Linked DNA regions of Anolis sagrei. The protein of the gene in region 1 interacts with the protein of each later gene in a pairwise test. Links are inferred from orthologs where the notes say so. Each region holds a gene or a part of one and is shown in the gene's direction. Other genes may lie near its edges.

Evidence for each region.
Region 2: the proteins of TNFAIP3 (region 1) and TAX1BP1 interact in binary tests that used the Homo sapiens proteins (3 or more experiments, as listed by UniProt). The link is inferred for Anolis sagrei from reciprocal best matches to the Homo sapiens genes TNFAIP3 and TAX1BP1.
Region 3: the proteins of TNFAIP3 (region 1) and YWHAG interact in binary tests that used the Homo sapiens proteins (3 or more experiments, as listed by UniProt). The link is inferred for Anolis sagrei from reciprocal best matches to the Homo sapiens genes TNFAIP3 and YWHAG.
Region 4: the proteins of TNFAIP3 (region 1) and ARRDC3 interact in binary tests that used the Homo sapiens proteins (3 or more experiments, as listed by UniProt). The two-hybrid records come from large-scale screens. The link is inferred for Anolis sagrei from reciprocal best matches to the Homo sapiens genes TNFAIP3 and ARRDC3.

Annotation. Positions count from the first base shown.
Region 1 is NC_090021.1:79,201,372-79,209,336, reverse strand, and holds the start of TNFAIP3 (tumor necrosis factor alpha-induced protein 3), read left to right. Parts: upstream 1-4,603; 5' UTR 4,604-4,702; intron 4,703-7,965. UniProt on the Homo sapiens protein: Ubiquitin-editing enzyme that contains both ubiquitin ligase and deubiquitinase activities.
Region 2 is NC_090026.1:90,671,262-90,679,503, reverse strand, and holds the start of TAX1BP1 (tax1-binding protein 1), read left to right. Parts: upstream 1-4,894; 5' UTR 4,895-5,001; intron 5,002-8,242.
Region 3 is NC_090031.1:32,897,886-32,905,632, forward strand, and holds the start of YWHAG (14-3-3 protein gamma), read left to right. Parts: upstream 1-4,293; 5' UTR 4,294-4,590; coding exon 4,591-4,677; intron 4,678-7,747. UniProt on the Homo sapiens protein: Adapter protein implicated in the regulation of a large spectrum of both general and specialized signaling pathways. Binds to a large number of partners, usually by recognition of a phosphoserine or phosphothreonine motif.
Region 4 is NC_090022.1:255,829,072-255,837,381, forward strand, and holds the start of ARRDC3 (arrestin domain-containing protein 3), read left to right. Parts: upstream 1-5,285; 5' UTR 5,286-5,556; coding exon 5,557-5,836; intron 5,837-8,310. UniProt on the Homo sapiens protein: Adapter protein that plays a role in regulating cell-surface expression of adrenergic receptors and probably also other G protein-coupled receptors.

The DNA of each region.
Region 1 (7,965 bases):
AAGCAATCATTATTCAATTTGCTGTCATACAACAATACAACAGAGATATCCAGCTGTTGCCATCACACGTTAAAGTTCCCACCTTTTCCCACTTCCAAGTGAATTGAGATGTCTGGATTTGGGCAGCACCTGACTCCAAGAATGCCAATTTCCAGACACTTTAAAACCAGAGCCCCATGGGCAACCACCAGAAGTAGTTTTGCATCATTTAATGGCCTTCATGGGAGTCTGTTTCTTATCCTAATCCATTCTTCTCTCATCCCATGTTCCCATAATACTTTTTGGTATAATACACTGTTTTGGATTTTCCTTTCCCCTATGAGGAGGCCAACAGCTGAATGTCCTTTTGGCTTGAGTTCAGCTGCCTAATTCACCATAGCACTACTCACAGCTGTCTTCTGTTCTGTCTCAGTAGTTTGTTGAGTGCCTTCCAACCATATCCTATCAATTTCTGACATTATTTCTTGTTTAATTTTGCATTATTTCATCACTGGGTTTTCATAGTAACTTTAGAAGCAGTTTACCATGCCTCTTTCTGCATAGTACTATCAAGTGTTATCTATGGTGATTTCACTCCTATCTCGACCACTACAGTTTAACAATAATGTCTCACCTCTCATCAGTTGATAACTGACTTCATTTTTCATAGCCTGAAATATTTAAAATTGACAGAAATCTCAATTGTGCATTTCTGTAGCTACTGCATAGTTTGCATTCACACTATATACTTTTAAAACATGGGCATAACATTCAAGCATTAATTTAATGGAATATCCTTAACAAAGTTAATACAGTCCATAATATCCCAAGAGCAAAGATTTGCTGTGGGTGCAATATCTTGTCCCACCATAATATAATTACTTATTTAGCCCCTTATCTTGACCCTTCATTTTTTCTTTGTTAACGTTTTAACTATATGTTATCCAAATGTATCTCTCTTTATGAGCCAGGTAGAGCATTAAGATCGGTCCCGCAGCCCTCGCAGGTGCGACTGGTGGGGACGAGAGACAGGGCCTTCTCAGTAGTGGCCTTTCGGCTGTGGAACTCTCTCCCCCATGAGATTAGATTGGTCCCTCCCTCCTGATGTTAAGGAAACTACTCAAACAAGTTTTTCAAACAAGCATTCAGAGAATGAGATGATGTAGTCCAAGATATCTTGGGACTGGTGTAATGTTGAATGTCTTATGTTTTATGTTTGTTTACATCCAAAGTTTTATAGATTACTGATTTTAATCTATTGTTATTTGTTTTTAATAGTGTAATACATTTTATATTGTGAGGTTTTGAATTTTGCCATTTGCTTTGTTGTGAACCACTTTGAGTCCCCCTACAGATTGAGAAAAGTGGTATATAAATGAAACAAACAAATAAAATAAAATAAAATAAAATAAAATAAATAAATAAATACGATTGTGAGAGGGATTCCATCACAGGCATTAAATAAAATGCTGCATTGTGTACACGGCAAGTCCTAGCAGTATATTATACATTAAATATTTAAGAGCTAAGTTGTGTAACACAAACTTGACATCAAAAAATCACATTATTCTCCTTAAAACAAATAAAGCAAAATTATTTGGTGTACCTATGTACGGCGCTCCATGCAGTCATGCCAGCCACATGACCTTGGAGGTGTCTACGGACAACGCTGGCTCTTCGGCTTAGAAATGGAGATGAGCACCACACCCCAGAGTCAGACATGACTGGACTTAATGTCAGGGGACTACCTTTATCTTTACCTTTTATGCTTATTTTACATTTTCCTTCTGCTAGTAAGCCACAGGAATAGTCTTTACATTTATGTTTTATAGTATTGGTGGTTTAATCTTTGTTATATATATATATATGCTTTGTATAGTCCTTAGTTTTATTTGTGTATTTTAATTATGTTGTACAGCACCCCACCACGATCTGTAACAAATAACATTTGTTGTTGCCAAATAATTTTCCATTGCAATTCAGGATTCCTTTCCCACTTGACTAATAGCAACAATATGAAGAAAGAAAGAAAAATCTGATAATGATGTTTCTTGCATCACAGCTCTCTGATCATTTCCCATCAGATGCTTACATAAATTGGGAAGTACTATTTTGTTCTCCTTTTGGGACCCATGGCATTCTTGAAAAATAAGGACTCTGCCAATCCATTTCCTTCTGTGTTCTTTCTGGATCACATATATGACTGTTAGGAATTGTAGGAGTTAAAGTCCAAAACACCTGGCGGGCTGAAGTTTGCACATGTTTTATTTACACAATAGAATGACTACAGCTTGACACGACCTTAACTGCCCTGGCTCAATGCTATGGAATGATGGGAACTGTATTATACAAGGCCTTCAGCCTTCTCGGCCAAAGAGTAGTGGTGCTTCACCAAACTCCCTATTTTATTATTTTATTATTTTATTGTTTATACCCCATGTTTTTTCTCTATATGGAGACTCAAAGCGATCCATAATCCAAAACATTACAACTTAAAATATACAATAAAACAGCATATCATTATATATTATCAGTAGTCATTATATTTAACATATTCGTATATTTAATATATTAGTATTACTATATTACAATATTATTCTATACTATTATATTGTATTATTGGTATTATATTGTATTCCTTTATATTATTATCAATATTATAGGACTATACAATATATTATATTATTAGCATAGCACAATAGTAGTATTATACATTACTATATTGTACTATACCACTATACTGCAATATTATTAGTAATATTACATGTAATATATAATATACTTGTATTATATTATTATATATTATTATATTGTACTATATTACTATACCACTATATCTAATATTCTACCAGTTTATACTACTACTATACCACTATATCTAATATTATACCAGTATATAATACTATTGGTATTATATAATATATTGCACTATATCACAAGTTGTAGTATATATATTACAACATTATTAATATTATATATTTTAGTATTATTACATTACAATGTTATTATTTCTATATAGTATAGTATTGTATTGTATTGTATTGTATATATTGAGGGGGCTCCCAACTTCAAGCAGTCTTAAGCTGCATTCCTTCTACACTGTAGATCAGTGTTTCTCAACTTGGGGGTCGGGACTCCGGGGGGGGGGGGGGGGCGTCAAACACCATCAGAAAACACAGTATTTTCTTTTGGGTTCTGTGTGGGAAGTTTGACCCAATTCTATCATTGGTGGGGTTCAGAATGTTCTTTGATTGTAGGTGAACTAAATTCCAGTAACAACATCTCCCAAATATCAAGGTGGCACAGTGAGTTAAGCCGCTGAGCTGCTGAACTTGCTGATCGAAAGGTTGCAAGTTCTAATCCGGGCAGTGATGTGAGCTCCCGCTGCTAGCCCCAGCTTCTGCCAACCTAGCAATTTGAAAACATGCAAATGTGAGATCAATAGGTACTGCTCCAGCAGGAAGGTAATAATGCTCCATGTAGTCATCCTGGCTACATGACCTTGGAGGCGCCTACGGATAATGCTGGCTCTTTGGCTTAGAAATGAGCATCAACCTCTGGAGTTGGACACGACTGGACTTCGTATCAGGGAAAACCTTTGCCTATTTTCCCCAAACTCCAACAGTGTTTACATTTGGGCATATTGAGTATTTATGCCAAATCTGGTCCAGATGTATCATGGATTGAGTCCACAGTGCTCTACCTGGATGTAGGTGAATTACAATTCTAAAACTCAAGGTCAATGCCCACCAAACCCTTCCAGTATTTTCTGCTGCTCAAGGGAGTTCTGTGTGTCAAGTTTGGTTCAGTTCCATCGTTGGTGGAGTTCAGAATGCTCTCTGATTGCAGGTGAACTATAAATCCCAGTAACTACAACTCCCAAATATCAAGGTCTATTTTCCCCAAACTCCAACAGTGTTCACATTTGGGCATATCGCGCATTTGTGCCAAACTTGGTCCAGTGAATGAAAATACACCCTGCATATCAGATACTGACATTACGATCCAAAACAGTAGCAATATTACGATTATGAAGTAGCAACAAAAATAATGTTATGGTTGGGGGGTCACCACAACATGAGGAAGTGTATGAAGGGGTTAGGAAGATAATAGGAAGGTCGAGAACCAGTGCTGTAGATGCACTTGAAAAAAAACTCGGGCAAGAGCCACAGCTGAAGCAGGGAAGAATCACGGTGGGGATACCCCAGGGGAGAAACCCAGGCTGCCAAGCCAAGGAGGAGCGATGATGACGTCAGTGATGTTGATGATGATGATGATGATGCGAGGCAGTCGGAGTCACGTGCCGGCGGCAGCGGCGGAGGCTTCCGCGGGCCTGGCTTCTCGCACAGCAGCGCCACCTAGAGGCCGGCCACAGCGCCAGCAGCAGCAGCAGCAGCAGCGCCGGCAAAGGCCACCGCGAGTGTCACATGCCTCCCGCCGGAAAGTCCCTCGCTTGCCTCTCCGTGGCTCTGGAAATCCCCAGCCCTTTTTTTCCTGCACTGGGGTGAGGGAGGGGGCCCGCCTGGCTCACAGTCCGGCTTCTAGAGGAACAGGAGAGAGGCAGGGCAACCACACGGGAACCTACCTTCCTTCCTTCCTTCCCACCCGAGAAAGCGGATTAAGCCATGGCAGCCTAGCGCCGGAGAGGGTTTGCATCCAGAAGGATTGAGGAGGAGGAGGAGGAGGAGGAGGATTTCTCCAGCCCTCTCCAAGCTGACAACGAGTAAGTACTTCGCCTGGTTCTCTCTCTCTCTCTCAGTCCCTCTCCTTTCTTTCATCCCTCTCTCCCGCTCTTCCTTCCTTCCTTTCCTTCCTTCCTTCCTTTCTTCTTTCCTTTCTTTTTTCCTTCCTTCCTTTCCTTCCTTTCTTTTCTATCTTTCTTTCCTTCCTTCATTTCTTTACTTCCTTCCTTTCCTTCCTTCCTTCCTTCCTTCCTTTCCTTCCTTTCTTTCTTTCCTTTCTTTCTTCCCTTCCTCCCATCCTTCCTTCCTTTCCTTCCTTCTTTCCATCCTTCCTTCTGCTGCTCTTTGGACTTTGGGATTGTTTGGGGGTCCAGTAAGGACTCGCTTCGGGATGGATGGTGGTAAACAAGAAAAGGGTGCATCTTATTCTCCTGTAGATACTGTAGAATGAATGCAGTTTGATACCGCTTCAACTTCCCTGGCTATGGAATGCTGGGAGTTGTCGTTTGGTAAGGCATCAGCCTTCTTTGGCAGAGATCCTGTCAGACTCCCAATTCGGTAGCACTGAGCCATGGCACTTAAAGTAGTGTCAAACTGCTTAAATTCTACAGCGTAGAACAGGGGTCCTCAAACTTTTTAAAACAGAGGGCCAGGTCACAGTCCCTCAAACTGTTGGTGGGCAGGATTTCAATTTGGAAAAAAAAAAGAATGAATTCCAATGCACATTGCACATACCTTATTTGTAGTGCAAAAACACTTTAAAAGAATACAATAATTGTTACGAATAACAATTTAGACAAATATCAACCTATTAGTATTTCAATGGGAAGTGTGGGCCTGCTTTTGGCTGATGAGATAGGATTGTTGTTGTTGTTGTTGTTGTTGTTGTTGTTGTTGTTGTGTGCTTTCAAATTATTGTTGTGTGACTCTGAGTGAGGGCCGGGTAAATGACCTTGGAGGGCCATATCCGCCCCGGGCCTTAGTTTGGGGACCCCTGGTGTAGAAGATGGACTCAGAGGAGAGGAAAGTGCACCCAGTTGTGTTTCTGCTATCACCAGGAAAGTTAAAACAAAGGCTGATTGAGGGCCCTTCCACACAGTACTATAACCCAGAATATTAAGGCAGTAAATCCACACTCATCACAGAGAATGAATCCACTTTAAATCTGGTTTCTGCCTCCTGCAGAATTCTGGGGTTTGCAGTTTAGTGAGGCTGTTTAAGTCTCCTCCCTAAACTACAAACCCCAGAATTCTGCAGGACACAGACACCAGATTTAAAGTAGATTCATTCTCTTGTTTGATGAAGTTAAGTGTTGAACTGCCAGTGTGGAAGGGCCCTTAGCCCCCCTTCTTCAAAATACTACTCCAAAATCTGAAATAGCCCACCTGAATGTTTGAGAGAGTCACACCTCTGCTTTCTGATGGTTCACTTTGCCAAACTTTGTTTCATGCAACATATTTTAAAAATACTTTTGTGCATCAGGTTATTATAAGGTATGATTAAGACATACGATTTCCTGTTTATACTTGGATGCCAGCTCCAAGGTTACCTATGTATTTGGAAATATAGAAATTCCAAAATCTGAAAGCATGCCTTTCCTCTTCTTTATTTGTACCAATCCATGCAAGTTTTCTAATCACTTGAAGCCCCTAATCAGGAATAAAGGAAATGTGGCTGATTATTTATTTATTTACGGTGTTTGTATACCACCCTTCCCAAGCCTGAAGAGCACTCAGAGCAGTTCACAGGGCAATTATCCCCAACCCAAGATTTGGCCATGGATATTATGATGTGTTGTCCAAGGCTTTCATGGCTGGAATCACTGTGTTGTGCTTCTTCCAGGCTGTATAACCTTGTTCCAGAAGCATTCTCTCCTAACATTTCACCCTTATCTGTGGCAGGCATCCTCAGAGGTTGTGAGACGTCTGAGGATGTCTGCCATAGATGCGGGTGAAACATCAGGAGAGAGTGCTTCTGGAGCATGGACATATAGCCTGGAAAACTCATAGCAACTCAGAAATGATGGCTCCACAGGATTATTTTTAAAGAAAGGAGGATTGTTTTTTAACCAATGTTAAAAGAAGTGGAAGGTGACCAGAGAGAAGAAGCAAAAAGGAAAATACTAGTTGTCTTTGCTTCCCATCATGTGCTGAGAAACAATTATTTATTACCCTTAAGAGTTTGGTTGTTGTTCATTCGTTCAGTCGTCTCCGACTCTTCGTGACCTCATGGACCAGCCCACGCCAGAGCTCCCTGTCGGCCGTCACCACCCCCAGCTCCTTCAAAGTCAGTTGTAAGAGTTTGGTACAAAATAGTAAATAAATTCTGGGATTGTAGGCTGGGAACAACAAAAACCTAGTAACAAGCAGGTAATACTTGTTTGTGGCATTGAGTTACATAACAACATGACAGCTCATACATAAGTATTTATCCCATTTTAAAAAACAAGGATTTGCATGAGATGCATGGACGTTGTGCTGTGTCATATGTGATACTGACATTTTAAAGATCCAATGGTTCTTTTAATTTTAATTATTATTCGCTTTCTCATAGTTTCATAATTATCAATATTGTGGTAACATGAACAAGTGATCTTAAACAGACTTACAAGGCAGTAAATCCATTAAATTCAGTGTGACTTTTGGGTAAACAGGCATAAAATGATATTGTCAGGTATTAGGTTGCTTAAAGCAGTCGCTAATTTCTCAGACTCCAATTGGTTATTTTTTTAATCCTCAAGATTTATTTTCACAATTTTTCCACCTTTGCTTAAGAGATGTGACATTGTAATCCATGTTATACTTCAGGATCTGCACCAGTGAGTTTAGTAGTAGGGCTAGTACTAGACACTAGACTTTTTCTAGTAAAGCACCAGCTCCACCTCCTTAGGTTAAGGCACCTATTATCCAAAACCAGTCTTGTAGTTTTAGCACCTGGAGCAAAACAAACCCTACAAGTATCTATTTCTCTCTTGCTGTGAAAAATGAAGTGCTATTCATCCTATACTTTCCATAAATAACTGATTTGAAACAATTTCATGAGACCCAGTAGCTGCTCTCCAGTTAGATCTCCCTTGGGAGGGGGATCTGTAGTGTGGAAGCAGTCCCCAAGAAGGCCTTCTCCATTGTTCCTAACAAAAGGACCCAAGGTGGTGGTAGGACAGAGAGAAGGCCTTCTCAAGACAGAGAGAAGGCCTTCTTAGGCTGGATCTACACTGCCATATAATCCAGATTATTATCGAACTAGATTATATGAGTCTGTACTGCCATATAATCCTGTTCAAATTAGATAATCTTGACTTTAT
Region 2 (8,242 bases), on another chromosome or scaffold:
GAAATAACAACCATTCAGATGTGCTCATTGACAGAAAATGTGGGTCCTTGTGCCCATTGTGCCCTGTGAAGCTGCCAAGTTTCACACCTCAAGACTTTCTTTTCCCTCTGACGCTCCACCCTCCCATACATACACACATACACAATTAATGTGTCTGCTCTCACCTATGTGCTTATGGGAAAAGTCACACATTTCTTCAGTCTCACGAATACTCATTTAAATAACCTGGCAACCTTTGAATAGATTTAGTTCATCAATTCTAATTAAGTGTTGGCAAAGATCTCCAAAATACACATAGGATTTTCTTCTGTGTAGGTGATACTAGCAATACGTTATTTCTAATATGTTCCTAAGGGATGCCTTCCATCTTTATAAAAGTATGTGTACCACAATTAGTTTTACTACCTAGGGATCAAACATTGTCTAATTGAGTCTATAACAGGAGCATCGTTCATGACTGAAAAAGGCAGATACTAAGTGATGTCATGATTAATATTCTGCTCAATTATTTTAGATGAAAAACTGACGTATAAAGCACACTGTATAGCAACACCAAAAATGAACTCCTGTTTAAGTGATGACTGATATATACCTTTCACATTTCAAAGTAGCCCGAGGCTTTTTGGGAAGACTGGCGCAAAAGCCAGACTACATCCATAATGAAGCATTGATCTGTACTGCTTTGCATTGGTACCATTACACAGTATCATTATTATGCTTTATGCTTCCATCAACCCAAGCTCTGTTATACAACTGTGTAGATTTCTTTCTACTGCTTTATATACATTGGAGAACTATATTACATGATGCAGATAGTGAGAGTAAAATAAAAATATATTGTCTTTTGTAACTGTTGAAAGAAAAAAATGTAGAGCTCTTCTACCTGGTTCAATTCTTCTGGTAAACCCTGGGCTATTATGTTATGTTTCTGAGTTGCACAACTTCTAGTGGAAATTCTCAGCTCTATATCCGGTCAGGGCATTCCTGAGGTTTCATCCTTTTTATTTAACCCCTTTCTTTTCTTTTGCCTGAGGATGTAGGGAAAGTTTCCTCCGTTCCAAAAAATATAATGGGGGAAGGAAAGTCAAAGGAGAACCTACGTCAAATCTTCATTCCATGCTTCATGAAGGGAACCACTTGAAGGTAAAGGAGAGAAAAAGGAGTTCAATACACTGTAACGTTATGTAGTAATTACTGTATTTATGAATTTAGCACCAAAACAGACAAGAGTTCTTTCTTTCTCAGACCCTGGACTAAATTGGATAATACAGAACATTGGATAAGTGAAGGTTGGATAAGTGAGACTCTACTGTGTGTATACACACACACACACACTTTGGATAGCATAGGGAAGAGCTAACACACCCATGCTGTTTGTTTTGCTGCTTGTGCCACTGTTCAGAAGATTTCACCTCACTTTCTGTCCCTGTGATAATTGGATTTTTTTTAAAAATGGTTTGTTGAGGAAACAGGACTGGCTCTAAAGCTTCAGTAGAGACACCTTTTCCACATGATTATAGAATAATAGAGTTGGAAGAGACCTCATGGGCCATCCAGTCCAACCCCTGCCAATAATAATAATAATAATAATAATAATAATAATAAATAATAATAAACTTTATTTATATACCACTCTATCACCTCGAACGGAGTCAGGCTGGTTCCAAGTATCAACACCAGCACATACAGAATCGCAACATAGGCAAAAATAACAATACTAGCAACATAAACATGAAGAGTTTCATGTCATCCATTGACTCTGGGGTCTTTTTGGCTGCAGAAAGTGTCTTTTTGCATTCTCCATGGAAATGTCCCTCATTTCAGTCCAGCGTGCTACTGGTTCCTGGTCAATTGGGCTTAAAAGTGTGCATCGATTATTTCACCTAAAAATTTTTAATCTTTAAATTCTATAGGGATGTTCTTCTGGTTGTACTTCAGCATGATACTTAGTTTGGTGTTATTTTAGCTTTACTCTAATTTTTGCTTAAAGAAGCAGGAAAATTGTCAAAGCACCCCCAACACATGGCTATCCAGCTTCTGTTTAAAAGCCTCCAAAGAAGGAGCCTCCACCACACTCTGGGGCACAGAGTTCCACTGCTGAACAGCTCTCACAGTTAGGAAGTTCTTCTTAATGTTAAGGGGGAATCTCCTTCAAGAGATTACTCTTTTATGAGTGAATTTTCCCTCTCTTCCTGTTGCCTTGCTCCTGTTTTTAACTATGAATCATTTATAAGCAGGATATTTGTAAGTTGGGGACTGCCTGTACTCAACCATGGTCACATGTACATTTATAATTTAATGCATTTTCAAACCAGTATTGAAGAAAGTGCTCATGCTGTGTGGATGATTACATAGGAAATCCTCAAATCAGCTTGAGGCCCAGATGGTGATTACACAAAGTACAGAATCGTGATGCACATTAAGGGCTTCCCTTCATGTGCTTTTGTGGGAGTTTTTTGTTCGGCCGCCGCAATCTGAAGCTAGCTGCGAACTGCATTAAATGGTCAGCATAGATGGAGCCCAAGAGAATAAGGCAACCCCACCAAAGCTAAAGAATGAGGAATGATGTAAGAAGATGAATTGGACCAGTTGAGGCGGAATCATTTTGAAGAAAAAGTTTCCTTAGAGTTATATAAAAAAGCATTCCTAGCTATTTTAAGTTAAAAATATACAAATTATTCTAAACCATATTCCAAAACATTTTTTACATATTCTGATGAGATACATATGGCACATATGATCTACATTGGCCTCAACCCAGTATTAAACCATCCCTAAAGGATTCCGGCCCAGCTTACCTATCCGAACGTATGTCCTATGAACCATCTAGGATTGTCTGGGGAGGCCCTGCTCTTGATCCCGCCTGCCTCACAAGTGTGATTGGCAGAGATGAAGGACAGTGGCCCCCCTGGCTATGGAACTCCCTTCCCAGGGATATTAGATCGGCCCCCTCCCTCCTGACTTTCTGAAAAAAAAAACCTGGCTTTTGAGCAAGCTTTTGAGAATGCAGAATAGATAACACGGAACTATGAATGATGAACATGGAATGACCCGACGATGTTACTGGATAACGTATTGTCGAAGGCTTTTTTCAGGCTATATGGCCATGTTCTACAGGCATTCTCTCCTGACGTTTTGCCTGCATCTATGGCAAGCATCCTCAGAGGTAGTGAGATCTGTTGGAACTAGGAAAAAAGGGTTTATATATCTGTGGAATGACCAGAGTGGGACAAAGGACTCTTGTCTAATGGAGCTAGGTGTGAATGTTTCAACTGACCACCTTGATTAGCATTTGATGGCCTGGCAGTGCCTGGGGCAATCTTTTGTTGAGAGGTGATTAGATGTCACAGATTGTTTCCTCTCTGTTGTTTTGCTGTTGTAATTTTAGAGGTTTTTTTAATACTTATACTTACTGGATTTTTAGCAGGATGACACCAATGATTATATGTTTTAACGGTGTTTATATATGACTTATATTGTAATGTTGGTTGTTTTTAATTGCACTTTTATGAATGCCTGGCATCGAATTGTGCTAATCTGTAACCCGCCTTGAGTCGCCGTATGGCTGAGAAAGGCCGGTTTATTTATTTAATTTATTTCGTATACTTCTACCCCGCCCTTCTCAACCCCCGAGGGGGGACTCAGGGCGGCTTACAAAAAGGCGCATCTTGGTGCCTACATAAATACAATAACATATAAAACCAGCAATTAAATGGTCAACAATTAAAACAACAATATATCTCACAATCGATAGCCAATCTCAGACACAGTGTTCGCCAGCTCAGAGTCCATATTTAGTTCCACAATTGTCCATTCCTATCCGTCGTCACAGTCCTTTGTTCATCTGCCAGATTGCCCAAACGCCTGGTCCCACATCCATGTTTTTAATTTCTTTCTGAAGGAAAGGAGGGATGTTGCTGATCTAATTTCCCCAGGGAGTGAATTCCATAGGTGAGGAGCCACTACTGAGAAGGCCCTGCTCCTCGTCCCCGCCAATCTCACTTGTGACAGAGGCAGGGCCGAGAGCAGGGCCTCCCCAGAGGATCTCAGACTCCGAGGTGGGACGTAGAGGGAGATGCGTTCGGACAGATACGCTGGGCCGGAACCGTATAGGGTTTTGTAGGCCAAAACCAGCACTTTGAATTATGCTCGGAACTGGATCGGCAGCCAGTGGAGCTGACATAACAGGGGGGTGGTATGCTCCTTGTATGACGCTCCGGTGAGCAGTCTGGCTGCCTCCCGCTGGACTAATTGAAATTTCCGAACAGTCTTCAAAGGCAACCCCACGTAGAGTGCATTGCAGTAATCTATCCAGGATGTAACAAGAGTGTGGGCCACCGTGGCCAGATCCGACTTCCCAATAAATATCGTAAATAATAAATAAATAAAATAATAAATATTTCCCTTGCAGTATTGTAAACACCAATAATCCCATTTACACCGTTTGAAACTGCATTATATTGTCACATGCCTTTTAACTGCATTGAGCTGCATTATATGAATCTATATCAGGTATGGGGAAACTTGAGTCCTCCAGGAGTTTGGGACTCCAACTCCCAGCATTCCTAACAGCCTCAGCCCCCTTCCTTTTCCCCCTCAGCCGCTTAAGCCGCTGAGGGGGAAAAGAAAGGGGCCTGAGGCTGTTAGGAATGGTGGGAGTTGGAGTCCCAAACACCTGGAGGGCCCAAGTTTCCCCATACCTGATCTACGTGGACCATATAATGCAGTTTGAAGGTGCAGGTTGGATTAATTACGTGTAAGAGTAACGAGGAATACCACTCTTTTCCGAGGGGAGGGGGCGATGTTATGAGAGGGCCGGACGCAGGAATGACGCGCAAACACGCACGACGTCGATTCGCTGACGTCACGCGCAGAGGACGGGGGAAAGCCCGAGCGCCGCGGGCCGGAAGTGACGCTGGCGTCTCGGAGGGGGCGGGGTTCCAGGGCGGTAATGGCGGCGGCTGGCGTTCGCAGTTGTTGAAGCCTTCGGCGTCTGAGGAGGTGAGAGGCCTAGTCGGTTGACGGCTGTTTCTTGGCACTTGGAGTGTGTTTGGCGAGGTTGTGAGGGGTTAGTGCGGCCTGTTCTTTTTCTCCTGTCACGTTTGTGGTAACAATTCCCCGCCCCCCTTTCCGAGAGAGACGGAAGGTGAGGGACCAGGCCTGTTGTCTAAAGCAGAGGGTTTGCTTCCAAAGGAGGCGGTTAACCTTGGCTTGGAGGGGGAAGCCAGGTAGGAGCCGCCTGACGAGGCCGAGGGAGAAGTCTCGAAAGGGGCCTGTGCTTAATCTGTTGTGTGTGGGGCGTTATGTAAGTTGTGAGAGGATTATGGCCGGGCGAAAGGAGGAGAAAAGCTTAGCATGGAGGGGAAGGAGGAGATTGTCGCTGGAAGACGCGACGTGGAAGGAAATACAGGGGACTCCAGCACACGCTGCTGCAGTACGTATATTATAATGTGGAAGAGCTCTTCCCATCAGAAATCATAGAATCATAGAATTGGAAGAGACCTCATGGGCCATCCAGTCCACCCCCTGTCAAGAAGCAGGGATATTGCATTCAAAGCACCCCTGATAGATGGCCATCTAGCCTCTGTTTAAAAACCTCCAAAGAAGGAGCCTCCACCACACTCCGGGGCAGGGAGTTCCACTGCTGAACGGCTCTCACAGTCAGGAAGTTCTTTCTCATGTTCAGATGGAATCTCCTCTCTTGTAGTTTGAAGCCATTGTTCCGCATCCTAGTCTCCAGGGCAGCAGAAAACAAGCTTGCTCCCTCCTCCCTGTGACTTCCTCTCACATATTTATACATGGCTATCATATCCCCTCTCAGCCTTCTCTTCTTCAGGCTAAACATGCCCAGCTCCTTAAGCTGCTCCTCATAAGGCTTGTTTTACAGACCCTTGATCATTTTAGTTGCCCTCCTCTGGATACATTCCAGCTTGTCAACATCTCTCTTCAATTGTGGTGCCCAGAATTGGACACAATATTCCAGGTGTCATCTAACCAAGGCAGAAAAGGGGTAGCATTACTTCCCTGGATCTAGATACTATGCTTCTACGGATGCAGGCCAAAATCCCATTGGCTTTTTTTGCCGCCACATCACATTGTTGGCTCATGTTTAACTTGTTGTCCACGAGGACTCCAAGATCTTTTTCACACGTACTGCTCTCGAGCCAGGTGTCCCCCATTCAGTATCTTTACATTTTGTTTTTCCTGCCAAAGTGGAGTATCTTGCATTTTCCTGTCATTTGAATCCATTGCTCCGTGTCTTTGTCTCCAGAGAAGCAGAAATCAAGATTGTTCCGTCCTCAATGTGACATTGTTTCAAACAATTAAATATGGCTGTCATGTCATGCCTTCTTAAACTTTGCATCACCAGGCCAAATACACCTGGCTCCTTCAGCCATTCCTTATGGGACTTGGCTTCCCAATCTTTTATTTATTACTAGCCGTCCCCTGCCCCGCGTTGCTGTGACCCACGGGGGGGGGGGGGGTTCTGTGTGGGAAGTTTGGCCCAATTCTATCATTGGTGGGGTTCAGAATGCTCCGTGATTGTAGGTGAACTATAAATCCCAGCAACTACAAGTTCCAAATGTCAAGATTCTATTTTCCCCAAACTCCAGCAGTGTTCACATTTGGACATATTGAGTATTCGTGTAGAGTTTGGTCCAGATCCATCGTTGTTTGAGTCCACAGTGATCTCCAAAACCAAAGGACACTACCCACCAAACCCTTCCAGTATTTTCTGTTGGTCATGGGAGAACTGTGTGCCAAGTTTGGTTCAATTCCATTGTTGGTGGGGTTCAGTATGCTCTTTGATTGTAGGTGAATTATGAATCCCAGCAACTACAACTCCCAAATGACAAAATCAATTTTTTAAGTGAAGAACATACATTGGGTTGTTAGGTGTCTTGTGTCCAAATTTGGTGTCAATTCGTCCAGTGGTTTTTGAGTTCTGTTAATCTCACAAACGAACATTACATTTTTATTTATATAGACTAGCCGTCCCCTGCCACATGTTGCTGTGGCCCAGTCTGTGTATATGTGTTTTCTGTGTGTATATGTGTTTAAAGACTGACTGGGTAAGATTGCAGGAATAAATCTATGACTAGTAATTTCCAACTTTGAGATTACTAGCCACGTGCACTACCATCTTCAGGTCCTCCAAATCTAGGAAGGAGCACAGCTAGTGTATCAGCCAAAGGTGATAGTAAGCACTCCTGACCATTGCATCTACCTGGGCTGACATTTGGAGAGACAGATTCAGGAGTACTCCCAAGCTGTGAAGACAGTAAACCCATCCAGAACTGATTGACATATCTCCATCCCCAGATTAGGACCCTTGTTGGCAACCAATTCTTTTTTGTCTGAATTCAGTTTCAATTTGTTCTTCCTCATCCAGCCCATTACCTGCTCCAGGCATTCATTCAGAGGAGACACAGTATCCATAGCTGAAGCTGTTTTTGAAGGCGCGGAGAAATATATTTTGGTGTCATCAGCATATTTTACAATTTTTAACCAAGGTGCCATTCTATCCCCAATGTTCTTTAATATTTACTATAAAGCCACTCAGAGAGATCACCTTGCCCATGTTTATGGATGATCTCTCCCAGTGGCTTCATAGTAAACATTAAAGAACATTGGGGATAGAATGGCACCTTGGTTTAAAATTGTAAAATTTTATTATTTTGGATGCCAGATAAATTTAGTTTCTGGTTGTTTGAGAGGTGCTATTAAAAATAGGCCTAACTGATAATAAACTCCATACCATACTATACCATGCCACAAACTCTGTAGTGACTGGATATTATAATATTTACTTGAATGTAATGCTTACCTTTTTTGGCTGCACTAGGTTGTGCATTGGATTTGCGTAATTTGGTAATCTTGGTGCTGATCCAAAGCAAAAGAGGAAGCTGTTTCAGAAGTTGCACCTGGAGCTCTTATTTGAGGGATGTCACCTCAAATTTGATTGCCAGGCTTAATGCTATGCAGTCCTGGAATTTGTAGTTTGGCAAGCCACTAGCATTCTTTGGTAAAGAAAGCTCAAGACCTTGTAAAGATACATGATTTCATAACATTGAGCCAAGGCTGTTAAAGTGGATTCATTTTACAGCACAGATGCATCCTAAGGTTTTCCTTTCAATTGCTAAAAGCCTTGGTGTTCTAACACTTTTGTTTTTAAAAAATCAAATCTAAGCATGTAATTTTGACCAGATTACAAAGAGTGCATTTTTGCTACTGCACATTA
Region 3 (7,747 bases), on another chromosome or scaffold:
CTTCCTCCTGGAGAGAGAAGGGATAGTCGGGAGTGTTAACTAAACCATGGGTTGAGCATGAGCCCACAGTAGCCAAAGAAGGCACCAACTAATCACTCCCGACAGATGACCATCCAGCCCCAGCTTTGTCCAAGGCCTTTTGAGGCTCTTCAACATCTTTCTTTCTTTCTTTCTTTCTTTCTTTCTTTCTTTCTTATTTATTATTATTATTATTATTATGTTTTATTTATTTATTGTTTATTATTATTTATTATTTTTATTAATTAATTAATTATTATTTATTTATTATGGGTTCTTTCCGTCCAATGGCTGCTCCTTTTTCCTTCCTCCTGGAGAGAGAAATTATAGTCGGAGGGTTAACTAAACCATGGGTTGAGCATGAGCCCACAGTGGCCAAATAAGGCACCATCTAATCACTCCCGACAGATGGCCATCCAGCCCCAGCTTTGTCCTAGGCCTTTCGGGGCTCTTCAACATCTTTATTATTTATTTATATATATTATTTATTTATTATTTATTATTTAATAATAAATAATAGAAAGGAGGAAACCATGAAAATGAACAAAATCTGGCTACCAGTATTATTTATTTATTTATTTATTTATTATTATTATTTATTCATTAATAATACTGGCTACCAGTATTTAAAAAAAAAAACACTCTAAAATTAGAACAGCACGACAACAGAGAGGAAACAAACCAACAAGGACATCGAATCACCTCTCACCAAAAGATTGCTCCAGGCACTGCCAGGCCATCAAATGCTAATCAAGGTAGTCCATTGAAACATTCCCACCTAGTTCCAACAGACAAGTGTCCTTTGTCCCACCCTGGACATCATTCCACAGATATATAAACCCCTTTTTCCTCGTTCCAACAGACCTCACTACCTCTGAGGATGCTTGCCATAGATGCAGGCGAAACGTCAGGAGAAAATGCCTCTAGAACATGGCCATATAGCCCGGAAAAACCTACAACAACCCAGTGATTCCGGCCATGAAAGCCTTCGACAATTTATTTATTTATATTTATTTATTTATATTCATATTTATTTATTTATTATTTATTTATTATTTATTTATTATTTATTTATTATTTATTTATTATTTATTTATTATTTATTTATTATTTATTATTTATCTTTGGACGATGAGATCACATTGGACCATCTTCTTCTTTGAGGTTTTAAGCAGAGGTTTGGATGGACCATCTGTCAAGAGGGCTTTGATTGTGTCCTCCTGCATGGCAGAAAAGGGTTGGACTAGATGGCCTTTGGGGATCCCTTCCAATCCTACGCCTTTGCACATCCAAAATGACCGCAGATTGGAAAGGGTTGTACTAAATGGCCTTTGGGGATCCCTTCTGGACCTTTGAACGTCCAAATTTAAGATCTGGGCCATCCCTTTGAAACCCATTGGGATTGGATGGAGCAAAGACAAAGGGAAGAAGCCAAACAATGGGGCAATTTGGCAGATGTTTGGGCGGCAAGAAGACATCACAGCCGAGGAGAGGAAATAATAGTGGGGTCTGCCACCTGGACCCTTTGACGCCCATCGTCCTGGGTTAATTAATAATAAATACACTATTAATGAATGATTAATAACTAAATGCTCATCCACCGAGGCCAAAGGCGCGGTCGTAAACAAAAAGACCTGGAAAAGCCATTTGCTCACTACCTCTGAGGATGCTTGCCATAGATGCAGGCGAAACGTCAGGAGAGAATGCCTCTAGACCATGGCCCTATAGCCCATTTGCTCTATGCTTGAATTCCACCTCCACATTAAGGACTGTGTCTCCTCCTCTAGAGGCTTTGAAGCACAAGCTTGGGTGGCTATCTGTTGGGAGGGATCTGATGGTGCCTTCCTGCCTGGCAGAAGGGGACTGGACTGGATGGCCTTTAGAGGGACCCCTAGGATATTTTCATTAGGTGTATAGATTATTATTATTATCAGAGGGCTGGATGACCATCTGTCAGGACGGATGGTGTTTTTCTTGTGTTTTTCTTACATGGTGTTTTTCTTACATGGCAGGAATGGGGTTGGACTGGATGGCCTTTGGGATCCCTTCAACCTCTGAAATTCTGTGGTTTGTGTTTTTAACTGAGGCTGGATGGCCATCTGACAGGAGGGATTGAATGGTGCCTTATCTATCAATACGCATAATGATTTGGAAGGGACCCCTAGAATATTAGTATTATAATATTATAATACTAATTATAATCGAATATATAATATATTATAATATAACATTATAATACTAATTATAATGTAATATAATCCTGAATAGACTACTGCAACACACTCTACGTGGGGGTTGCCCTTGAAGACTGTTCGTATAATATAACATTATAATACTAATTATAATGTAATATAATCCTGAATAGACTACTGCAACACACTCTACGTGGGGGTTGCCCTTGAAGACTGTTCGGAAACTTCAACTGGTCCAGCGAGCGGCAGCCAGATTACTCACCAGAGCATCATACAGGGAGCACCCCACCCCCCTGTTGTGTCAGCTCCACTGGCTGTCGGTCCAGTTCCGAGCACAATTCAAGGTGCTGGTTTTGACCTACAAAACCCTATACGGTTCCGGTCCAGCGTACCTGTCCGAACGCATCTCCCTCTACGTCCCACCCCGGAGTTTGAGGTCATCTGGCTAGGCCCTGCTCTCAACTCCACCTCTATCACAAGTGAGGTTGGTGGAGACGAGGAGCAGGGCCTTCTCAGTGGTGGCCCCTCACCTGTGGATCTCACTCCTGGGGGAAATTAGGTCATCAACTTCCCTCCTCTCCTTCAGGAGGAAAGTAAAGACGTGGTTATGGGACCAGGCCTTTGGGCAATCTGACAACTAGATAAGGACAATCAGACAATTAGGACTGACAGGACTGACAAAGTGGAATTGGAAACTGGACTATGAGATGGCGAACGCTGACCGTTAATGAGGTGCAATTGGTTTTTAGTGGTTTTATCGGCTTATTAGTTTTATTGTTATATGCAGAACTGTTTCTTAACTGTTAATTGCTGCTAGATTGTTTTATACTACTGTTATGTGATGTCGGCATCGAATTGTGCCTTTGTAAGCCACCCTGAGTCTCCTCCGGGGTGAGAAGGGCGGGGTAGAAGTAACCGAAATAAATAAATAATAAATAAGTTTATTATATATTATCTTACAAAATTATAATACTAATTATAATATAATATAGTATTATAATATAATATATTATAACATAATATTATAATACTAATAATTATATCATCATCATCACTTTATTTCTTAATTAGTCGCTCTCTACCAAGGTGCTCCGAGCGACTTACAATTTAAAACAGTTTATACACAATATAAAACATTCAATATAAAATATATTATATAGAAGATATAATATGTTATAATATAACATAAATATAATGTAATATATTATAATATAATACTAATTATAACAGAATATATTATAATTTGGAATGTTAATATTATGTTATAATATTATGTATTATAATATAATTATAATATACTATATAATATAATACCAATTATAATAGTATATATAACATTATTATACTAATTAAAATGTAATATATTATATATTATACTATATTATAATATAATTATAATAGAATATATTATAAAATAATATTATAATTCTAATGTAATATATTATAATATATAATATATTACATTATAATTCTAATGTAATATATAAAATAATACTAATTATAATATATGTATTATAATATAATCATAATATTCTATATATGATACTAATTATAATATAATATATTATAATATAGTATTAAATATTAGATTAGAATATTATGTATTATAATATAACTATAATATATTAAAAATAATATAATACTAATAATTTACTATATTATATATTATAATATAGTATTAAAATATTATAATATTATGTATTATAATACAATATAATGGAAAGGGACTCCTAAGAGCCATCCAGTCCAAGCCCTGAATGAGTGTGTGGCTTGAGGACAAAAAGCAGCGCGCGTGGCTTGCTGGGAAATGTAGTCCCCTCCGCCGCGGCTTCAGCTCTGACCGCGTTACTATCATTCGGCAAGGGAACTCTATCTCCCGTCGTGCTTTGCGCGCGGGGAGAGGGCGGGAGCGTTTTAGAGAAGAGGAAAAGGAGGGCGTGGCTCTCCGGAGAGAAAGAGGCGGGGCTTCTGTTTGGCAGGAGGGCCGCGCAAGCGCAGAGGGGCGGGGGAAAAAGGAGGGAGAGAAAGGGGCGGGGCTTCTGTTTGGCAGGAATGCCGCGCATGCGCAGAGGCGCGCCGCCGCCTTCGCTGCGTCGCCTCTGCCGTCAGAGCAGTCGCGGCGCGAGCGGGGAAGGAGCCTTGTGCGCGCTCTCCGTCTCTCTCCCTCTCTTTCCCTCTCTGAAGCCCGGCCAGCCAATCAGATCGCTCGCTTGCTCTTTTTCTCCTCTCTCTCTCTCTCCTTCAGCCCGGTTGGTTTTGTGTTTCTCTCTCCGAGGCGACTCGGTCGGGCGAGAAATTTCCCCATCTTCTTGTCTTTTGAATAGATATATTTAAATTTTACTATTTCTATCTATTTTAAAAACAACCGCAATCCAGGAAGATGGTGGACCGTGAGCAGCTGGTGCAGAAAGCCCGGCTGGCCGAGCAGGCTGAGCGCTACGACGACATGGCGGCTGCCATGAAGAACGTGAGTGTTTGGCGCCCGCCCGCCTCCTTTTTCGCCCCCATTGATCTCTATTGGGGAATCGATATCTATTGGTTTCTGGGCTATTGATACCTATATATCTATTCATTTCAGGGCTATTCATAGAGGTTTTTGAGGTAAAGATAGATTAATCTCAGGGCTATTCATATATATTGATTTTTGAGGTAAATCTGTATTAATATCCCATAAATTAATATATATTTACCTCAAAAATCAATATTTCTGGGGTATTAATATATATTGATATCTGGAATAATATGTATTAATATTTATTCATATATATTGATGCCGGGGTATTAATATATATAAATTTCTGGTGTATTAATATATATAAATTTCTGGTGTATTAATATATATTGATTTCTGGTGTATTTATATATATTAATTTCAGGGCTACTCATATATATTGATTTCTGATGTATTAATATATATTAATTTTGGGGATATTAATATATATTGATTTCAGGGATAAATATATAATAATTTCTGGGGTATTAATATATATTAATTTCTGGGGTAAATATATATTAATCTCAGAACTATTCATATATATTGATTTTGAGGTATTAATATATATTGATATCTGGGGTAAATATAGATTAATTTCAGGGCTATTCATATATATTGATTTCTGGGGTATTAATATATAATAATTTCTGGGGTATTGATATATATTAATTTCTGGTATATTAATATATATTAATTTCAGGTGTATTAATATATATTAATTTCTGAGGTATTAATATAGATTAATTTCTGGGGTATTAATATATATATTGATATCTGGGGTAAATATGTATTAATTTTAGAACTATTCATATATATTGATTTTTGAGGTATTAATATATATTACTTTCAGGGCTATTCGTATATATTAATTTCTGGTGTATTAATATGTATTGATTTCTGGGGTATTAATATAGATTAATTTCTGGGGTATTAATATATATTTATTTCTGGGGTATTAATATATATTGATTTCAGGGCTATTCATATATATTAATTTCTGGGGTATTAATATATATTGATTTCTGAGGTATTAATATATATTGATTTCTGGGGTATTAATATATATATTGATATCTGGGGTAAATATATTTTAATTTCAGGGCTATTCATATATATTGATTTCTGGGGTACTAATATGTATACTAATTTATGTATATACTAATATATATTAATTTCGGGTTTATTAATATCTATTGATTCCTGGGGTATTAATGTATAGATTTCTAGGGTATTAATGTATAGATTTCTGGGGTATTAATATATAGATTTCCGGGGTATTAATAGCTTATTAATATATATACATACATATTATATATACATATATGCATAATTATCTATGCTCACACATATTTAGTGTACATAGATATACACATATGTGTAGGGTGGCCTAAAAGTCCCCATAAATGGGAAAAATTAGCAAACTCGTATATTATATCTATCTATTTCTAGCTATCTATCTATATGTGAGTATTTTGCAACTAAAGGTACATTTAGCTACAATTTCTCATTTGCCCCAATGTATTTTGGGTCATACTTATGCACCTTCACACACATAATATACATAAATGCACACACCTATATGTATATGTATCACATATATAATATGTATACTTATGCACATATATATTTATACACATATATATTTTATGTGTAATATATGCATATATATATATATATAGAGAGAGAGAGAGAGAGGTATATGCATATATAGATCCACATATCGGTGTTGGTCTGCACACATAGATGTATATATAGATACCCCCATATATAGAGAGAGAAGGGGAGTATACTCATATATAGATCCACATATAGTTGTTGGTTTGCACACACACACACACATGTATATATAGATACCCCCATATAGAGAGAGGGGGGTATATACATACATAGGTCCACATATAGGTGTTGGTCTGCACACATACATATGTATATATAGAAACGCCCATATATAGCGAGAGGGGTATACGCATATATAGATCCATATATAGGTGTTGGTCTGCACATACATGTGTACGTATAGATACAGACAAACACACACAGATCCACATATAGGTATCGGTCTGCACATACACATGTACATATAGATACACCCATACACACACACACACAGATCCACATATAGATGTTGGTCTGCACACACACACATATCTATATATAGATACCCCCATATATAGAGAGGGGGGCTATGCATATATAGGTCGACATATAGGTATTGGTCTGCACGCACACACATGCATATATAGATACCCCATATACATGTAGAGAGAGAGGTATACACATATATAGGTCCACACATAGGTGTGTGTCTGCTTGCACTACATATGCATATATGGATACCCTCGAACGTAACGCATAGAGACAAGAACAGAGGGGGGAAAAGGAGAGTTACAAATGGAAAAGAGTGATTTCCAAAGATGGGAAGGAGTGCAATTTAAATTAATATATAGCAAAAAGGGGAGGTTGTGCAAAAATCGAAGGATGGATTGAAAGACAGAATGTCCAGCCATTTTTCTTTTTTACTATTCCAGTACTACTCTTCCAATATGACACAAACTGGGCTGTTGTTATCATTTGTATTGCTTGGAAAGGAATTGGTAGATTTTGTTCAATACATTGGCTCCGGTTCTGATTCCTATATATGTGTCTGGATATGGGGAACGTTAGGAATATTGCATGGCAAAGGTGGCAGCCGTTGAGTCCTTCAATGGGGGAAATAGGGGGGAAATGCCCCCATTTTTGGTAGGCAAACAAATAGAATATGAGAGAGAAAGGAAATGTCGGTGTGCTTGGAAGCGAGCTAGACTCCTATTCATATGTGTGTGTGTGTATGTATATATCTCTATCTGTCTAGCTGTCTATATAAGAAGTGAGCTGGACTCCTATTCATATGTGTGTATGTATGTATATATCTATCTCTATCTCTATCTGTATGAGAAGTGAGCTGCACTCCTATGTGTGTGTGTATGAGAAGCGAGCTGGACTCCTATTCATATGTATGTATGTATGTATGTATGTATGTATGTATGTATATCTCTATCTATAT
Region 4 (8,310 bases), on another chromosome or scaffold:
CATGGGCTCCTGTCAGGAATTAATATACCTTTGAGCCTGAACTCAGCTATGTTCCTTTTATCTCAGCCATGCTGTTTTATGATGTTGTTTTGATTGTGTTTGTTTTATATTTTATTTGATTTATTTTGCTGTGGTTCTGTTTTTATCTGTAATAATCTCCTCCGTGTCCCCTGGGGGAGATGGTGGAGGGGTATAAAAATAAAGTAGTAGTAGTAGTAGTAGTTATCCTATTCTAGTGAAATGGAGAATTTGTTCAGGTTTTACTCTGAGCTTTCAAAGAGCTATCAATAGTACTTAACCTTATTCCCAAACAGGCTCAATACTTTGGATATCTTCTTTAAAGTTCAGACTAGAACCCAAAGTGAATTCATAGCCTCACTGACATGTGACACATCAGTCAGGACTACTCTGCCTATGGATTTTGGCACAATATAACAATTGGCTTTATTGTGACCCATTTTGAGAGCTTGTGTGGTGTAGTGGTTTGAGTGTTGGACCAGGATTCGAATCCCCACTTGACCATAAAAACCCACTAGATGACCTTGAGCCTCAGAGGAAGGGAAGGAACCCCCTCTGAACCAGTTCTGCTAAGAACCCCCCGCGCCCAATATTAGGTCCATATTGGAGTCTCTATCAGTCAGAAATGACTTGAAAGCATACAACAACCAACTGTGATTCTCATCTTTATCCATTGTGACACTTAGCTCCACCTATCATTATCTCCACCTATTGTGACACTTTACTCTATCATTAGCTCTAACTATTGTGACTTGACGTCCCATTGGCTTCACTTACAATAAGCAACTCTACCCTCTGGGGCACCAACCATCAATGCAGAGGATAACTCGCAATATTGAAAACACAAATCCTGTAAGGTTTGGATTATTTTACAGCAAATGTGATAAAACTGTTCTGATGGTCTGAAGAACCTTCCTCCTTTTGGCACATCCAATAATAGGTCTGGAAGCTCATAATACTAATAAAATCAAGGATAGTTAGTAACTTTCATGGAGTTTATTTGTTAGTTTTAGTTGGGGGCAGGGAAAAGAGATTCCACCTGAACATTAGGAAGAACTTCCTAACTGTCCAAACTGTTCAGCAGTGGAACTCTCTGCTTTGGACTGTGGTGGAGGCTCCTTCTTTGGGTGCTTTTAAGAAGAGGCTGGATGGCCATCTGTCTGGGGTGCTTTGAATGAAATTTTCCTGCTTCTTGGTAGGGGGTTGGACTGGATGGCCCACGAGGTCTCTTCCAACTCTATGATTCTGTGATAATTGGTTGGGAATGCTACAGGGTTATTTTGACTCTTCTATTTATCTTATGATGTAGAATGAATGCAGTTTGACCCCACTTTAACTGCCATGGCTCAATGTTATGGAAGTATGGAAGTTGTAGTTTTACAAGGCCTTGAGCCTCCTCTGCCAAAGAGGTATTTAGTCTACAGTGCTACAGTGAGTTAAAGCACAGCGCTGCTGAAATTGCTAATAGAAAGGTCGCAGGTTCAAATACGGGGAGCGGGGTGAGCTCCCGCTGTCAGCCTCAGCTTCTGCCAACCTAGCGATTTGAAAACATCCAAATGTGAGTAGATCAATACGTACCACTCCAGCAGGAAAGTAACGGTGCTCCATGCAGTCATACCGGCCACATAACATTGGAGGTGTCTATGGACAACGCCAGCTCTTCGACACAGAAATGGAGATGAACACCAACCCCCAGAGTTGGACACGACTGGACTTAATGTCAGGGGAAACCTTTACTTTATTTATTTATTTTAAAAAATTATATTCCACCCTTCTCACCCCGAAGGGGATTCAGAGCGGAGCACAGCATATATACAGCAAGCATTCAATGCCAGGACAAGAATTCATTATATGCATACATAAACATTAAAAACATTTGTCTCAATATTAAAATACACTGTTTAAAACCATTTTTACCATCAATCTACAAAACCCAGATTCCATATCACTGAGCTATAGCAGTAAGAGTTGCATCTACATTGTAAAATTAATGTAGTTTGACTGCTCAATGCTAAGGACACCTAAGAGTTGTAGTTTTACAAGGGCTTGAACCTTCTCTGCCCAGTGTGTCACTAATCTACAAGTCCTAGAATTTCATAGCATTGAGCCATGGCAGTTTGGACGGGGTCAAAGTGGATTAATTCTACAGTGTTGATGCGTCTTTGGTATGTGTGTATGTGTGTGCATTTAATTTGTTGGGTTTAAATGAGATTTCTGAAACTCTAATAAAAATATTTTTTTAAAGACAAGGACAGCCCTTAACAAGCCTTCCTTTCAAACTCCATTTCAGCTTTGTTTGGGCTAAAGCAGTAGTTCTCAACCTTCCTAATGGTGCGACCCCTTAGTACAGTTCCTCAAGTTGTGGTAATCCCCAACCATAAAATTATTTTTGTTGCTACTTCATAACTGTAATTTTGCTACTGTTTGGTAATATAATATAATTGTAATATAAATATCTGATATACAGGATGATTTTTCATTCACTGGACCAAATTTTGCACAAATGCCCAACTGGAGTTGTGCAGGGATTGATTTTGTCATTTGGGAGTTGTAGTTGCTGGGACTTATAATTAACCTACAATCAAAGAGCATTCTGAACTCCACCAATGATGGAACTGAACCAATCTTGGCAAACAAAACTCCCATGATCAACAGAAAATACTGGAAGGGTTTGGTGGCGCATTGTCCTTGAGTTTTGGAGTTGTAGTTCACCTACATCCAGAGAGCACTGTGAACTCTAAACAATGATGGATATGGACCAAACTTGGCACAAATATTCAATATGCCCAAATGTCAACACTGGCGGAATTTGGGGAAAATAGACCTTGACATTTGGGAATTGTAGTTGCTGGAATTTATAGTTCACCTACAATCAAAGAGCACTCTGAACGCTGCCACAATGTATCTGCACCAAACTTGGCACACTACCTACATGCTAACATTGAATACTGTGGGGATGGGGGAGAGGCTGTTTTTGAATTCTGGGAGTTGTAGTTCACCAACACCAAAAAGGAAGATAAGGACAGGTGGAGAAATCTCCAGCCTTCTCTCCCAAAAGGGTTCCTAAGACCATCAGAAATATATGTTTTCTGATTATCTTTAGTGACTCCTCTGAAACCCCCTTCGCAATCTCTCCCCCCCCCCCACAGGGGTCATGACCCCTAGGTTGAGAAACACTGGGCTAGAGGTATGCCTTTCATAGAATCTTTAAAAACTTCCAAAGAAGGAGCCTCTACCATACTCTGGGGCAGAGAGTTCCACTGCTGAACAGCTCTCACACACAGGAAGTTCATCCTAATGTTCAGATGGAATCTCCTTTTTTGTAGTTTGAAGCCATTGTTCCACATCCTAGTCTCCAGGGCAGCAGAAATCAAGTTCGCTCCCTCCTCCCCATGGCTTTCTCTTACATATTTATACACGGCTATCATGTGTCCTCTCAGCCTTCTCTTCTTCAGGCTAAACATGCCCAGCCCCTTAAGCCGCTCCTCATAGGGCTTGTTCTCCAGACCCTTGATCATTTTAGTCGCCCTCCTCTGGACACATTCCAGCTTGTCGATATCTCTCTTCAATTCTGGTGTCCAGAATTGGACACAATGGTCCACGTGTGGTCTGATCAAGGCAGAGTAGAGGGATAACATGACGTCCTTGGATCTAGACACTATATTCCTGTTGATGCAGGCCAAAATCCCATTGGATTTTTTTGCTGCTGCCTCACATTGTTGGCTCACGTTTAACTTGTTGTCTATGAGGACTCCAAGATCTTTTTCACACATACTGCACTTGAGCCATGAGAGCTGAGGAGAGTATGCCTTTTGCAAGCAGTGCTCTTTCTGCTGAGGATGTTATTTATTATTTATTTATTTACTATATTTATATACCGCCATTCTCAGCCTGAGGGCAACTCAGGGCAGTTTAAAAACGGCACCATTCGATGCCCACAATAACATAAAAACAATTAAAACATTTAACATCAATAACATTCAGTAAATAATAAACCCCATAAAAACATAGATCCTCTGCATCTCATTACCAAAATCATTACCTAATCGGGTTGTCCAGTCATTCCGAGATCAGGGTTTGTCTGCTACACAGCATTTGGGAAAGCCTGATGAAAAAAGCCAGGTTTTGATTTTTTGCGAAATGTTAAGAGAGGGGGGGGGGGCGATCTAATGTCCCTAGTGAGGGCGTTCCACAGACAAGGGGCCACTGCTGAAAAGGCCTTGTCTCTTGTTCCCGCCAACCGAATCTGTGAAGAAGGCGAGACTGAGAGCAGGGCCTCCCCAGAAGATCTTAAATTCCTAGATGTTTCATAAGGAGAGATACGTTTGGACAGATAAGCTGAGCCAGAATCGTTTAGGGCAGTGGTTCTCAACCTGGGGTCCCCAGATGTTTTGGCCTACAATTCCCAGAAATCCCAGCCAGTTTATCAGCTGTTAGGCTTTCTGGGAGTTGAAGGCCAAAAACTTCTGGGAACCCAAGGTTGAGAACCCCTAGTTTAGGGCTTTATAGGCTAAAGTCAGCACTTTGAATTGTGCTCAGTAGCCGACTGGCAGCCAGTGGAGCTGGTGCAACAGAGGAGTTGTGTGCTCCCTGAGCGCCGCTCCTAGAATCATAGTTGGAAGAGACCTCATGGGCCATCCAGTCCAACCACCTGCTAAGAAGCAGGAATATTGCATTCAAAGCACCCCTGACAGATGGCCATTCAGCCTCTGTTTGAAAGCTTCCAAAGAAGGAGCCTCCACCACACTCCGGGGCAGAGAGTTCCACTGCTGAACGGCTCACACAGTCAGGAAGTTCTTCCTCATGTTCAGGTGGAATCTCCTTTCTTGTAGTTTGAAGCCATTGTTCCGCATCCCAGTCTCCAAGGAAGACAACCTGCCCATTGGACCATTTGAAGATTCCGAACAGTCTTCAAAGGCAACCCCATGTAGAGAGTGTTGCAGTAGTCTATACGGGGATGTAACCAGAGTGTGGACTACCGTGACCAAGTCAGACTTTAATTCCAAGTCAGAATTAAAACTTGTACTGGACAAGTTTTAATTCAAAAAGGAATGCAAAAGGGGCTTGCTCCTAAAGAGGAAAAGGAAAAAAAAATCCTAGAAGTTGGGGTAGCAAGCAAGGAAGCAGCTTGTCTTGTTGCTCTCCAGCAACAGCCGAGTCGGGCTCTCTCTTGCTTCTGCAACACACCTTCAGCATGAGAGGAGGCGGGGGAGAGCCAAGGCAGGCCCGCGCCTGCGCAGTGGGGTTGTTTTTCACAAAGCTCTCCTTAAAGTGAGGTGGCAGCGGCTGGGCTTTCGTCTTTGTAAGGAGACCAACCGAGCTGCAGCGTCCCTTTGCAGGAGCCCCAATGAAGCGCTCCTAGAGAAGAACCACGCTGGTCCTGCCTGTTTTTCGCAGAGCAATACAGATCAGCGTCAAGGGGAAAGTCTCATATTTTTTTTCTATATGAGATCTTGACTCTCCCTTCCTTTTTTTCTCCTAAGAATATATTTTTATAGACTTTGCTATCAACAAAAAAATAATAATAATACTTTCAACATGGTGCTGGGGAAGGTGAAGAGTTTGACCATCAGCTTCGACTGTCTGAATGACAGCAACGTCCCCGTCTATTCCAGCGGGGACACAGTCTCAGGAAGGGTGAATTTGGAAGTCACGGGGGAAATCCGGGTGAAATCCTTAAAGATCCACGCCAGGGGACACGCCAAAGTCCGCTGGACCGAGTCGAGAAATGCGGGATCCAACACTGCCTACACGCAAAACTACACGGAAGAAGTCGAGTATTTCAACCACAAGGATATCTTGATCGGGCACGAAAGAGGTGAGCCTGGCTTTGCCCCATTCATTCCTCTCTTTGATTATTATTATTTTATTTATTTATTTCCCCCATCTGTTTCATGTTGCTTTCTGGGTTGGTTTTCAAAGATGGTTACTGGGCAATAGGACCAGTAAGAGTTTGGCGTTGCAGCCTTGGGGTGCATAGCTATTTAAACCGAATCAACCTAAATGGATTGCAAAGACCATCATCCACTGCAAAAAGAAGTATTTTATATTCCCAGGAAGACTTAGCCTCCATTTGCATCCAGTGAGTGCATTGACACCATTCCTCTCCATTTAAGTGACTTCAGTATTATAACCTTGGGGTGCATAGCTATTTAAATAGAGTTGGACCTAAATGGGTGGTGATTATTACCATCTGCAAAGGGAAGAAAGACTTCATATTTTCCAGTCTCTCCTAAAAAGGGACACTTTCACCCAAAAGATGGGTTACTCAGAAATAGGACCCAATTGAGAGCAATGGCACCCATTCTTCCCCCCAGTCAGTGACTTTAGCATTATAGCCTTGGAGATATTTAAAAACCAAACATGGTTCCTGTAAAAAGGACCCAATTGAGAGCAATGGCACCCAGTGAGTGAGTTTAGCATTATAGCTTTGGGATGTAGAGGCATTTAAAAACCAAATATGATTCCTGGAAAATAGGACCCATTTGAGTGCAATGGCACCCATTCTTTCCCCAGCAAGTGAGTTTAGCATTAAAGCCTTGGGATATAGAGGCATTGAAAAACAAAATATGGTTATTGTAAAATGCGACTTATTGAGTGCAATGGCACCCATTCTTTCCCCCAGCAAGCAAGTTTAGCTTTATAGCCATGGGATGTGGAGGTATTGAAAAAACCAAACATGGTTACTGGAAAATAGCATCCATTTGAGTGCATTGGCACCCATTCACCTCAATACTTGAGATTGGGATGTAGCCATTTAAACCTACAACACTTAAAAGACCATCTTGTTCCCATCTGCAAAAGACTTTTTTATATTTTCCAATAGGGACACTCAGTTGGTGAGGATTTTCTCTTATTACGCCTTGATTTTGCATCTGAGATAGGACCCATTGAATACAATAATACCAATTCCCCCAATAAATGAGTTTAGGATGCATGCTAAAAAAAAAACCCTAGAAGACGTAAATAGATTGTAAAGACCACCTGATTACCATCTGCAAAGGGAAGACTTTTTAAAAAAAAAAAAAAATCCCACTGTCTTTCCAAAAGGGATACTTTCACCTGTGCATCCAGTTAGTGAGGAATTTCTCTTAATGCTTTGCTTTTAAACTATTTCTCCCTATATCAAGGTACCTATATGGTGACCCCCTCCCCTCCCTCTATATCAAGGTGCCTTATTAAGATCACTTATGGGGCTTCTGTGGGTGATGTCCTTTGGAGAGGGTTGCTGGGCGAGAAATAGGTTCCCCGTGGTGCGTTTTGACACTTGCTTTCAGCACCCCACGTGTACCTCTTGCATTCCCTTTTAAACTCAACAAAGTTGTGGGGAAAACGTTGTTTCGGAATATTTTTCCTACAAATGCGGATGGATAATTGGGTTTTGAAGTGAAGGAGGGGGACCCCCCCCCCCATTGAATATGATCAATAATTGCATTATTAACAGCATCCTTTCTAAGTTGGGGCAGTCAATGGAAAGCTCCCCCCTAGAGCTCTGCAAAGGATGCCTGATATTAGCCAAGGGAGTCAAAAATGGAACAAACCTCCCCAAAGGGGTTCCCTATGCTTCTGACTGTTTAATCTGTAGATTGCTATGGCACCCAATGTGGAAGTCTAGGAGAGTCTAAGGTTGTTTTTCTGAAGTTTCCACCCTTTGTTCAAAGCGGTTCAATCCTGTTTGGGACCAGTCCTGGGGAGAAGGGAGGGGGCTGCGCCTGCTCCTCCAAAGCCCATTGGCTGCAGGCGTGTCAGGTGGTGGCGATGACTTAATTCCTAGCACAAGAAAATGGGGAAACCGGTTATGTAATTGTGGCTTGCCCTTTTTATATATAGAGAGAGCGAGAGAAAGAAAGAGAGAGGAGATATATATCCTCACACACATATATATGAACATATATTTACATACATGTATATACATATCTTCTCCATATGTGTAGATATATATAGACCACATTTTTCTCTATCCCCCTTTCTCTATAAATAATTTCTCTCCCTTTCACACACATATACACACACTTATCTATATTTATGCAGATTTACTGCATATATGAGAATTTAATAGAAGCCTTTTTTGTTAAAATAAGCAAGTTGCAAATTAGCCATTCCCTTGCTTTCGAGGCAAGTCTTTTCAGCTTCCTTTTTGCCAAAAGATGGAAGAAGGCAATGTCTGCATTGAGATTAAATGGCATTTTTTTTAATCTTGCTATTCAAAGTGCACATTCTTCCCCGGGTATTTGCAATTTTCAAGAGGCACTTATTCAGAAACTAAAAGGTGCAAAAGACAATGTCCAAAAT